2 linked regions of the Oryzias latipes genome follow. The protein of the gene in region 2 interacts with the protein of the main gene of each other region in a pairwise test. Links are inferred from orthologs where the notes say so. Each region holds a gene or a part of one and is shown on either strand. Other genes may lie near its edges. The genes, in order: id2 and myod1.

Region 1 (4,085 bases), on a different chromosome or scaffold from region 2:
CCTGGTAGAATGTTACAGTTCTAGAGTCAAATGTGTTTGTAGGTAGTTTAAAAAAATAAAAGTAAGAAGCCTTGCAGTGTTACTGAAGCATTTCACTCGTGACGTAGATTGTGTTGTTTTTTTATTGTAAAACCATTTCGTCTTTGCATGCAGCAAATAAACATTCAATTCTTAAAAACATGTTTTGGTTTTGAAATTTCTCGCCTTTCAGCCTCAACTAAAAAAAGAAAAAAAAACATTGATCTTGAATGTAAAACACTAATTTAATGTAATTTCAGGGTAAAAGGGAGAATGAGAAAAGTACCACTGCAGGACTCTTGTGGTCCGACAGATGGCGCAATTTCTATACAAACCTGCTGCGGTTTGGCGTGAACGCAGTCAACTTTAAAGTAGATGTACAGGAATGTCAATGTTTTCTGGACATTGACTTTTTTTGGACAACATTTGGTTCAAATATCCAACATTTCTGCTTTTTTGTAGAATTATTTTTACACTGAGGAAAATTTAGTTTATCAAAATGGATTTGATGGGATGAAAAGATGATCTGACAGATTCCTGAGTTTAAAAAAAGATAGCATTTACGGTTTGATTAATTCACCAAAATAAAAGCGCCTCATTTTTTAGATTTTTTTTTAAACAAGAATGTCTGCACTTTTTTCAGATCTGAATGCAATGAAAAAGCCAAGAAAAATCAAGTTGCACTTTGATTTATTTTTTATATTTAAAAAAAGGTACAATTTACATTACTTTTATAAAAAGTTTCAGCATAATTAAGTACAGCAATACACTTTTGCAGAAGTTTCAAATTCCTGCAACTATACAACTCCTGGTGAGAGTTCACAAGATTTTTCTCTTTTTTTTTAAATCAAGTTTTTTGTTTTTTCTTAAACATTGTCCAGTCCTTCGTGTGCCAACATTTCTGACAAGACAAGACTAAACTTTAAACATTTTTTTCTTTGAACAGTAACTAACCAAACTGCTTGTTTCTGTACAAGTTCCCACCTCCGCAGAAAAAGCGAAGAGATCAACAAGGAGAGAAAGGAGGGAGGGGGGGGGGGTCACGGGGAGGTGAGGAAGAAGAGGGGAGGTGGTAATCCTTGTGACAATCCCCCCCCCCCCTTCTTTCTTCCTCTTTCCCCCCTTTTTTCCTCCCGTTGTCGGGAACATATCGCGCCTTCCTTCCATTTCCAGAAAGGACCCACAAATAAAAAAAAAAAGTCTTAAGTTAAATAATAATGAAAGTGTCACATCACAGGAGATTGTCCTTTTTTTTCTTTTCTTTTTGAAGTAAGAGTCTTGATTTCAGGGGGGATAATGAAAAGAAAAAAAACATCCAGGCCTGAGGAACTGCAGTTGGATGGTGTTGGATGGGTTGCTCCTCAGGTCCTGGTGTGGGTTTTTTTTTCTTTTTTTCTTTTTTTTTTTTTTTTGCGTCTTGACCAAACACCTGCAAGAGATTGAGAAGGAGGAGAGGCGTGTTTAGAAAACGCAAACAGGGCAGAGATCCGGACAGTCTGGCGCCAGGGAGGAAGCCGCAGTTTTTTAACATTTAACCAAACACTCCCAATACTAAGCAAACTCTGCGCTCCAGATGTACGCGCACGCACAAGCGCTCACGACAAGGAGAGGGGGAGGAGGAGGGAGGGAGGGAAGGGGGAAGGCGCGCGCACATTTTTCGCACAACTTCAGCCTACAATCTGGGGAAGAATCAGCGTAATTGCCGCTCAGCTGGCGCCTACCCACTTCTTGTACCAATTATGTGCAGACATCGTAGTAGCAGTAATCCAAACAGCCATTATTTTTCCTGTTGCAGATGCTCTTCATTACAGGCACAAGTGGGGATAATAGAACCCTGACGGCTACTTCTTCCATACGCTGGAAATGCTTCTAATTTGTTTTTATTTGGCACCGATGACGCGCGTTTTTATTCATTTTTAGAATCCCGTTTCCAATGGCTGTCGGGGGAGTGACGCATTCCCCCGCGACAGCCGATTTTGCTGCGGGAGCGTGGAAAGCCCTGGCCAGAGAATGCAGCAGACAGACAGACAGACAGACAGACAGACAGACAGGAGGGACAGCCCCACTTACCGCCTTAACGATGCAGAGTCCGGCTGTCATCTGTCATCAGCTCTGATGGCAACTCCGGGGACTGCAAACAAACAAACGCGGAGCCAAAGCGTCAAAACGCGTCTCATGGTTTCATTTCCCAACAATAGGAATGAGAAGGGGGGGGGGGGCGCATCCCCCTACCCAAAAAAACAAACCAAAAACAACAACAAAAGCAGTGTAATTACCTGTAATGACAAGATGCTGATGTCTGTGTTGAGGGTGGTCAGGGGGGGCCTGGATGCGCCGGTCTGCCCCGGCCGCGCGGGGTGATGCAGGCTGCTCAGTGCGACGCTGGAGTCCAGCGCGATCTGCAGGTCCAGGATGTAGTCGATGACATGCTGCAGGATTTCCATCTTGCTGACGTTCTTGTTCTGCGGGATGCTCGGCACCAGCTCCTTCAGCTTGGAGTAGCAGTCGTTCATGTTGTACAGCAGGCTGAGCGGGTCGTCCACCGGGGTCTTGCTCCGCGAGATTCCCAACGAGTGCTCCGTTAAATTCACGGCGTTTTTCCGGAAGGACCGAACGGGGCTTATTGCTTTCATTCTCGAAGTTTTCTTCTTCTTCTGTTTTCTCTTCTATGTTTGTTTGGTTTTAGTCCCGTTTTCTCAGCCGATCTGCGCTCAGACTGGAATACAGAGCTGTCACAAGCCTTTAAATAGGCAGCAGGGCAGTGTGTGCCGAGTGGGCGGGCCGAGCGCGCGGGTTGGACAGCGCCCTTGTGTCACTCAACGCCTTCCCGGCGCTCCCATTGGCTGCTGAAATCCCCGCCCCTTCTGTAAAACGTTACCAGTGGCAACGCGGGGCCGGAGGCGGAACTTCTCATCTCCGGTGGGCAATTTGGGAAAATTAAGCCCTTACCTGTTTCTGATCAAGAAAATGAATGATTCAAACGTAAACTGGATGATAAAAGCAGCGTTTTCATACTTCTAAAATCAAATTATTAATAAATTAGGATGGAAAATTGAGAAGAAGTGTAGCGGCTTTTTGAAATATTTGACAGTTTGGGACCTAAATGTTCAAAAATCTGATGTGATGGCACAGACTCGGCATTTATGGAACTGAATTTTACTAAAAATGTTTGTTAATTAAACCTATTAACCGTAAACACAACTTTCTATGATGATTAAAGCCAAATCTTAATGTTTATAATTTTTATTTTTTAGGGATAATAGCCAGAGGAATCTGGGTTAATCCACTTCTATATGCTAGAATTTTTAGTTTTTGCATGATTTCTTTGAGGGGGGGGGGGGGGGGTGTTAAATAGCCTTTTGTTTTTGTAGTGATCTTAATCTGCACTTGAGGTGAGTGAGGGAGTCCTGAAGAGGTGATTAACTGTAATTGAATGCTTTCAGATGTTCTTTTCTTCCCCTTCAGATGGAGTTTCGATGCGGATAAAGTTTGGTCCAGGTGACATATTTTAGGTTTAATTTGAAAGTTTATTTTAAAAAAAAGATGACAGGAGATTGACTTTTATTTTGAAATATAACTGATGTTTATTAAATACACAAAAGACCAAACTCCAGCGGCGCATCATGTTTTTCTGCATCATCCACGGGTCCACATCTGCTGAAATGCACATTTCCCATTATCCCCTCCTTCCCCCGTCGCTCCTGCAGCTGTGCACCTCTGCTCACGCGCTCTTGACTGAAGCCTGACAGACAGGTGATGGATCGGCGCAAGAGCACGTCGGTGCAAAAAAAGCCGCGCCCTGCGTCCTCCTCTGCTCTCCTCTTCCTCTCCTCTCTCCTCTCTCTCCCTCCGGAGCAGACTCTCTGGCGCCGGCCACGTGACGTCACCCTATTCACAGCAGCCCTCGAGCCGAGCCCTCGCGGCGCCGCTGAGGCGGTTTCCATGGACACGGGCTTTCAAAGGATGTCGGTCGGAGGTTCTCAGCTGATCCCGCCCGAACAGGGGAGCTACGAACACCGATGCGGTCCGAGTTGGGTCTGCCGGGTTTGGTGCACTCCAAACTAAAC
Region 2 (4,420 bases):
GGTCGGAGCGGCCCGAGGGCCGCGCTCTGTCTCACTGAGCGCAGCGGCGGCCGGGGAGGCAGGAGCATCGGCCGTGGCTGGGAGGCAGCTGCTGTCGGTGGAGATCCGCTCCACAATGCTGGACAGGCAGTCCAGACTGGAGACGACGGAGCTGCGGTCATTCCTGTGGCCTCCTACGGCAGAAAACACCGTCAGTCAAACATGATTCAAACTAGACTGTGAGGTCACTCCTCTATGTGTGAATAAAACCTGTAAACAGCTGTGTGCAGACTATTTATTGGTGTGTGTGTGTGTGGGTGTGTGTGTGTGTGTGTGAGAACCAAGTCATGCAGTTTACTTATGACACTCTTGACTCTGTATTATCCACTGCTCCCCCACCCCCCATCTCTAACATCCACTCTCTCTCTTCTTGTTTTCCGTCCGGTCCAACAAAGAATGCATATAAACATAATTATTATGAATAAAGCCTAACCTCAAATACATAAGGGGTTTACACCAATTGATACCATTGTCCAGGGAAATACTCGATTCTGATTGGCTGCTGGGTGTGGATAAAAATGTGTTAATGTACATCTAAAAAGCAGTTCCGGTCACATATCTTAAATGTTCTGTATCAGAATCTTTAGCTTCATCATCTGGACAAAAATGATCAGTGACAGGAGAACTTTCTCTCTGAACTGATGCTTTATTCAACCCATCGTGATCATCAGCATAGATATCACTTTCCTTTGCCGCACCACTCGAGGTTGGCTAAGTGGCATGTTACTGTGACAACAGGCTGCACCGCATGACAAATAGTTCGCTTTTGTGAAAAAGCAATCTAAACCGTAAAAATGACCAGAATAAAGTACTGGTTGACTATTTATTTATTTTGAAAGTCACCATGGTATAAGTGAGTAGATTTACTTCAAAGTGTTCATATTTTTAATGCACTTTGCAGTTCAACGCAGGCTTACACGGCAAGCGTTAATAATGCACCCTTTGAAGGATATTAACCCCTAAATAAATTGTGTTTGTCTAAAGATCCATAAAGTCCTGTTGTAAAAGTAAAATTTGTCCAACACAAGAGGCCTTCAGCTCTGACATACTTGCTCAGCTGTAAATATAGATATAGATATATATCTATATATATATCCTTTTTCTCATTTATAGAATTTATAGAGAATGTCATTGTTTTCTTTAACCTCATGAAAACTAAATTTATTTAGCAAAAATAAAAGCACATCTTTGGCTTCATGAACAGATTTAGTTAGATTGCAAACGCTTTATCATTTCAGATGAGCAATGCTGTCGGCTGGTTAAAGCGCAAATCGGATCTTTCCTGTGTAAAATGTTGGCGCGTGACGCGGCCCCCTCTGGCCCGCGCGCAGCTCACCGTTCAGAGCCTCGGAGAAGTAGGAGCCGCCGTCATAACTCCCCTTTTGCGTCGTCTGACACCTCGGTCCATTAAAGTCAGTCTGGAATAAAACACAATGCTTTTTTTAGAGCACGCCAAAAGAGTAAATAAAACACAATTTACACAATGTCACATTTTTGAAATATCAACACAAGGGATATTTTCCGATAGTAAACACTCGTGTATTTTTAAACTGGAATATATATATATATATATATGGGCTTTCTTTGAACAAACAAGCACAAAACAGCAGCAACAATATTATTATTTCATCTTCCTGAGTGTTTCGCACGCGTTATAAAAGGAAATTTGTCAAATAATAGAAATCCTAATGACGGGACTCGTATGTTTTATGAAGGAAATTCGTTTGAATAAATCCGGATGTTTGGTGCAAATTATAACCGATTTTTATTCAAGCAGCGAACTGCTCCAAACGACGCTGTCAGTCTATTCAAGAAATACGTAAAAAAGATTTTCACGATTAAAAAAAAAAAAGAAAAGGTTTTACGTTTAAAAATCTTATTTTCGGGAGAGGTAGTAACTGGTAATCCTCTGAATTAACTGAGTAACGCGCCTGTATAATCGAATCTAAAACGGTGAAAGTTGCCTTTCCTTTTTCTTTTCTTTTTTACTGAAGTTTTGTAAAAACTTGTGCCGTCATGAAACGACTAACTAAGTCAAGACTCCATGCGTAAAGACGCGCTGTAGCTCCAGCCTTCGCAGCTTGTCCGAACAGCGGACTCACCATTCCGTCAGAGCAGTTGGAGCGGGGGCTGGACGCGTCCGAGTCCCCGCTGTAGTGCTCCAACACCGGGTAGAAGCCATCCTCCTGGCCGGCGCGCAGCAGCGCCTGCAGGGACTCGATGTAGCTGATGGCGTTGCGCAGGATCTCCACCTTGGGCAGCCTCTGGTTGGGGTTGGCTGACGTGCAGCGCTTCAGCGTTTCGAAGGCGTCATTGACCTTGCTGAGGCGCCGGCGCTCGCGCAGCGTCGCTGCCTTGCGTCTGTCTGCGTTGGTGGTTTTCCGCTTGCAGGCTTTGCAGGCCCACAGCAGGCAGCGGCCCGCCTGGTGGTGGCCACTGGGCGCACGGACGTGCTCATCGTCCTCCACCTCCGCGCGCTGGTGCACATGGAGGACGGAGGACGGGGAGGAGGAGGACGAGCAAGGAGAGGATGAGGGGGAAGAAGAGGAGTCATCCGGCTTCAGCAGACCGCCATGGACTAGCCGTGGGTCTAGGTCCTCGAAGAAGTGCATGTCACTTGTGTTAAAACAGGGGTCATCATAGAAATCATCAGCAGCCGGGATGGGGAAAGGAATATCCGACAGCTCCATGACCCGGTCCAAAACAGGCCCGCAGAAAAGAAATACTGAGATCAACGGGCCGAGCCGAGCTATCCAGCAAACCGAAGAGAGACTCGCGATCCGCGGGTCCGGTAATGTGGGTCCTGTCAGGAGTTTTGAACTGGACTACTGCTGACCTGAAGCCTCTTATACCTGGCACATCAGCAGCAGGCAGGGGGGCCAAGGGGTCAGAGGAGTGTGACCAATCGGTGGGCAGCTGCAGGGGTGTGCGTGTGTGTAAGTGGAGGGGTTACAACTGCACGGTAATTAGAGGCCTGCAGTTAACGGAACAGCTAAAGGAAGGCCGCACACGCATTTCCGCCTTACACACCCGTGTTCAAGCGCCTCTTTGAATGCGCACACACCAGAATTTGGGGCTGTGGCGTCTGGAAGGCTAGCGGTCGCACATCACCAGCAGGTTTTTAAGTTGGGTGCGGAGCCTACAAACAAATCAAGCGTTCGTTGGTCGCGCGCTGAAAGTTCAACCGGTTGAACTTTTTCACGCTGAATCTCAGCAACGCAGCGCTGTGACCAATCAGAAATTAGGATTTGATAGTGTTTGTAGCGTCTTTTCAAGAAACAGTTATCAACCGTTGTAAACATGATCACTAAGGAGAAATGAATAATTGCGGTTTGTTTTTGGCCGGAATAAAATGACACCAAGATGGACATTTATAGGAACAGATCTGTGAAAACAAAAAGGCTGGAGCAAGATTTGAGGGAATTGAACCGCTTTGATTTTGCAGATCGAACCTCTTCCAATAAGTTGATTTAATTACAATAAATATATTGTAGGTGGCGGAGGAGCGCTGATGAAAAGAAGAACCGCCCCTGCAGGTACCTGCGTGTCTGGCGCTGGTCCGTCCGGTCTGTACACCGAATGAGTGTTCATGAAACTGCGTGGAGCGCGCTCTGGAACGCACCTTCACATGCGCACACACCACTCTTTTTTTTGTTTTCATTGTAAGTAGGAAAAATGAGGCAATTCAGAATGTCAGAGACAAATGAAATGTTTGCACTGAAAGAAAAGACTGTCAGCAGAACATTTAATGAGCAGCAAGAAATGTGTGAAAAGCTGGCAATGCAAGACGAGCTTTGGTTGTTTTTAGAGCTATTTTGAAAAACAAATGAAGTCTCTTTTTTTTTTAAAAAACACCACAAAGTTGTTGTTTTAATGGAGAAAAATGGCATGAAAAAAAGGTTTTGCTTTCCCATATTCAAAAAGTCGGTATTTATTCTAAACTACAACAATAGTTGTGAAAATAATGCTAACTGAGTGTCTCTGTGCTTTGGTTTTCATGTATTCACATCAATTCTACTCAGAAATGATCTTAATAATTTTCAAAATCTACTTTTCTTTTTGTTATTTGCACATATTTACGTAGGACCAGACAGAAAAACACTTAATATGTGCGGCCAAGAGACACATTGTGGTGTTGATCCCCCCCACACATTCGCATTGCGTCTCAGGGTAAATGTTGTCGTCAGTGGCGGACTTTAGAGTTCGGAGGCCCCTGGCGAATAACAACGGTTGTATTTTATTTTTTAAATCCTTACATTTAGGGTAAAACATAAGAGAACTTTCTAGCTCTGTTATGGAGTTCAACAACCCAGATTACAGATATCCAGCTTGACTCCTCCTCTTGACATCAATTTTTTTACCCAGAAGCGTCGCTCAGCAG

Evidence for each region.
Region 1: the proteins of myod1 (region 2) and id2 interact in a two-hybrid assay, tested with the Homo sapiens proteins (2 studies listed by BioGRID). The link is inferred for Oryzias latipes from reciprocal best matches to the Homo sapiens genes MYOD1 and ID2.

Annotation. Positions count from the first base shown.
Region 1 is NC_019880.2:11,295,684-11,299,768, reverse strand, and holds id2 (DNA-binding protein inhibitor ID-2), read right to left. Parts: upstream 2,759-4,085; 5' UTR 2,652-2,758; coding exon 2,295-2,651; intron 2,150-2,294; coding exon 2,093-2,149; 3' UTR 2,089-2,092; intron 1,448-2,088; 3' UTR 692-1,447; downstream 1-691. UniProt on the Homo sapiens protein: Transcriptional regulator (lacking a basic DNA binding domain) which negatively regulates the basic helix-loop-helix (bHLH) transcription factors by forming heterodimers and inhibiting their DNA binding and transcriptional activity.
Region 2 is NC_019864.2:6,432,618-6,437,037, forward strand, and holds the start of myod1 (myoblast determination protein 1), read right to left. Parts: upstream 2,933-4,420; 5' UTR 2,730-2,932; coding exon 2,142-2,729; intron 1,458-2,141; coding exon 1,376-1,457; intron 174-1,375; coding exon 1-173. UniProt on the Homo sapiens protein: Acts as a transcriptional activator that promotes transcription of muscle-specific target genes and plays a role in muscle differentiation. Together with MYF5 and MYOG, co-occupies muscle-specific gene promoter core region during myogenesis.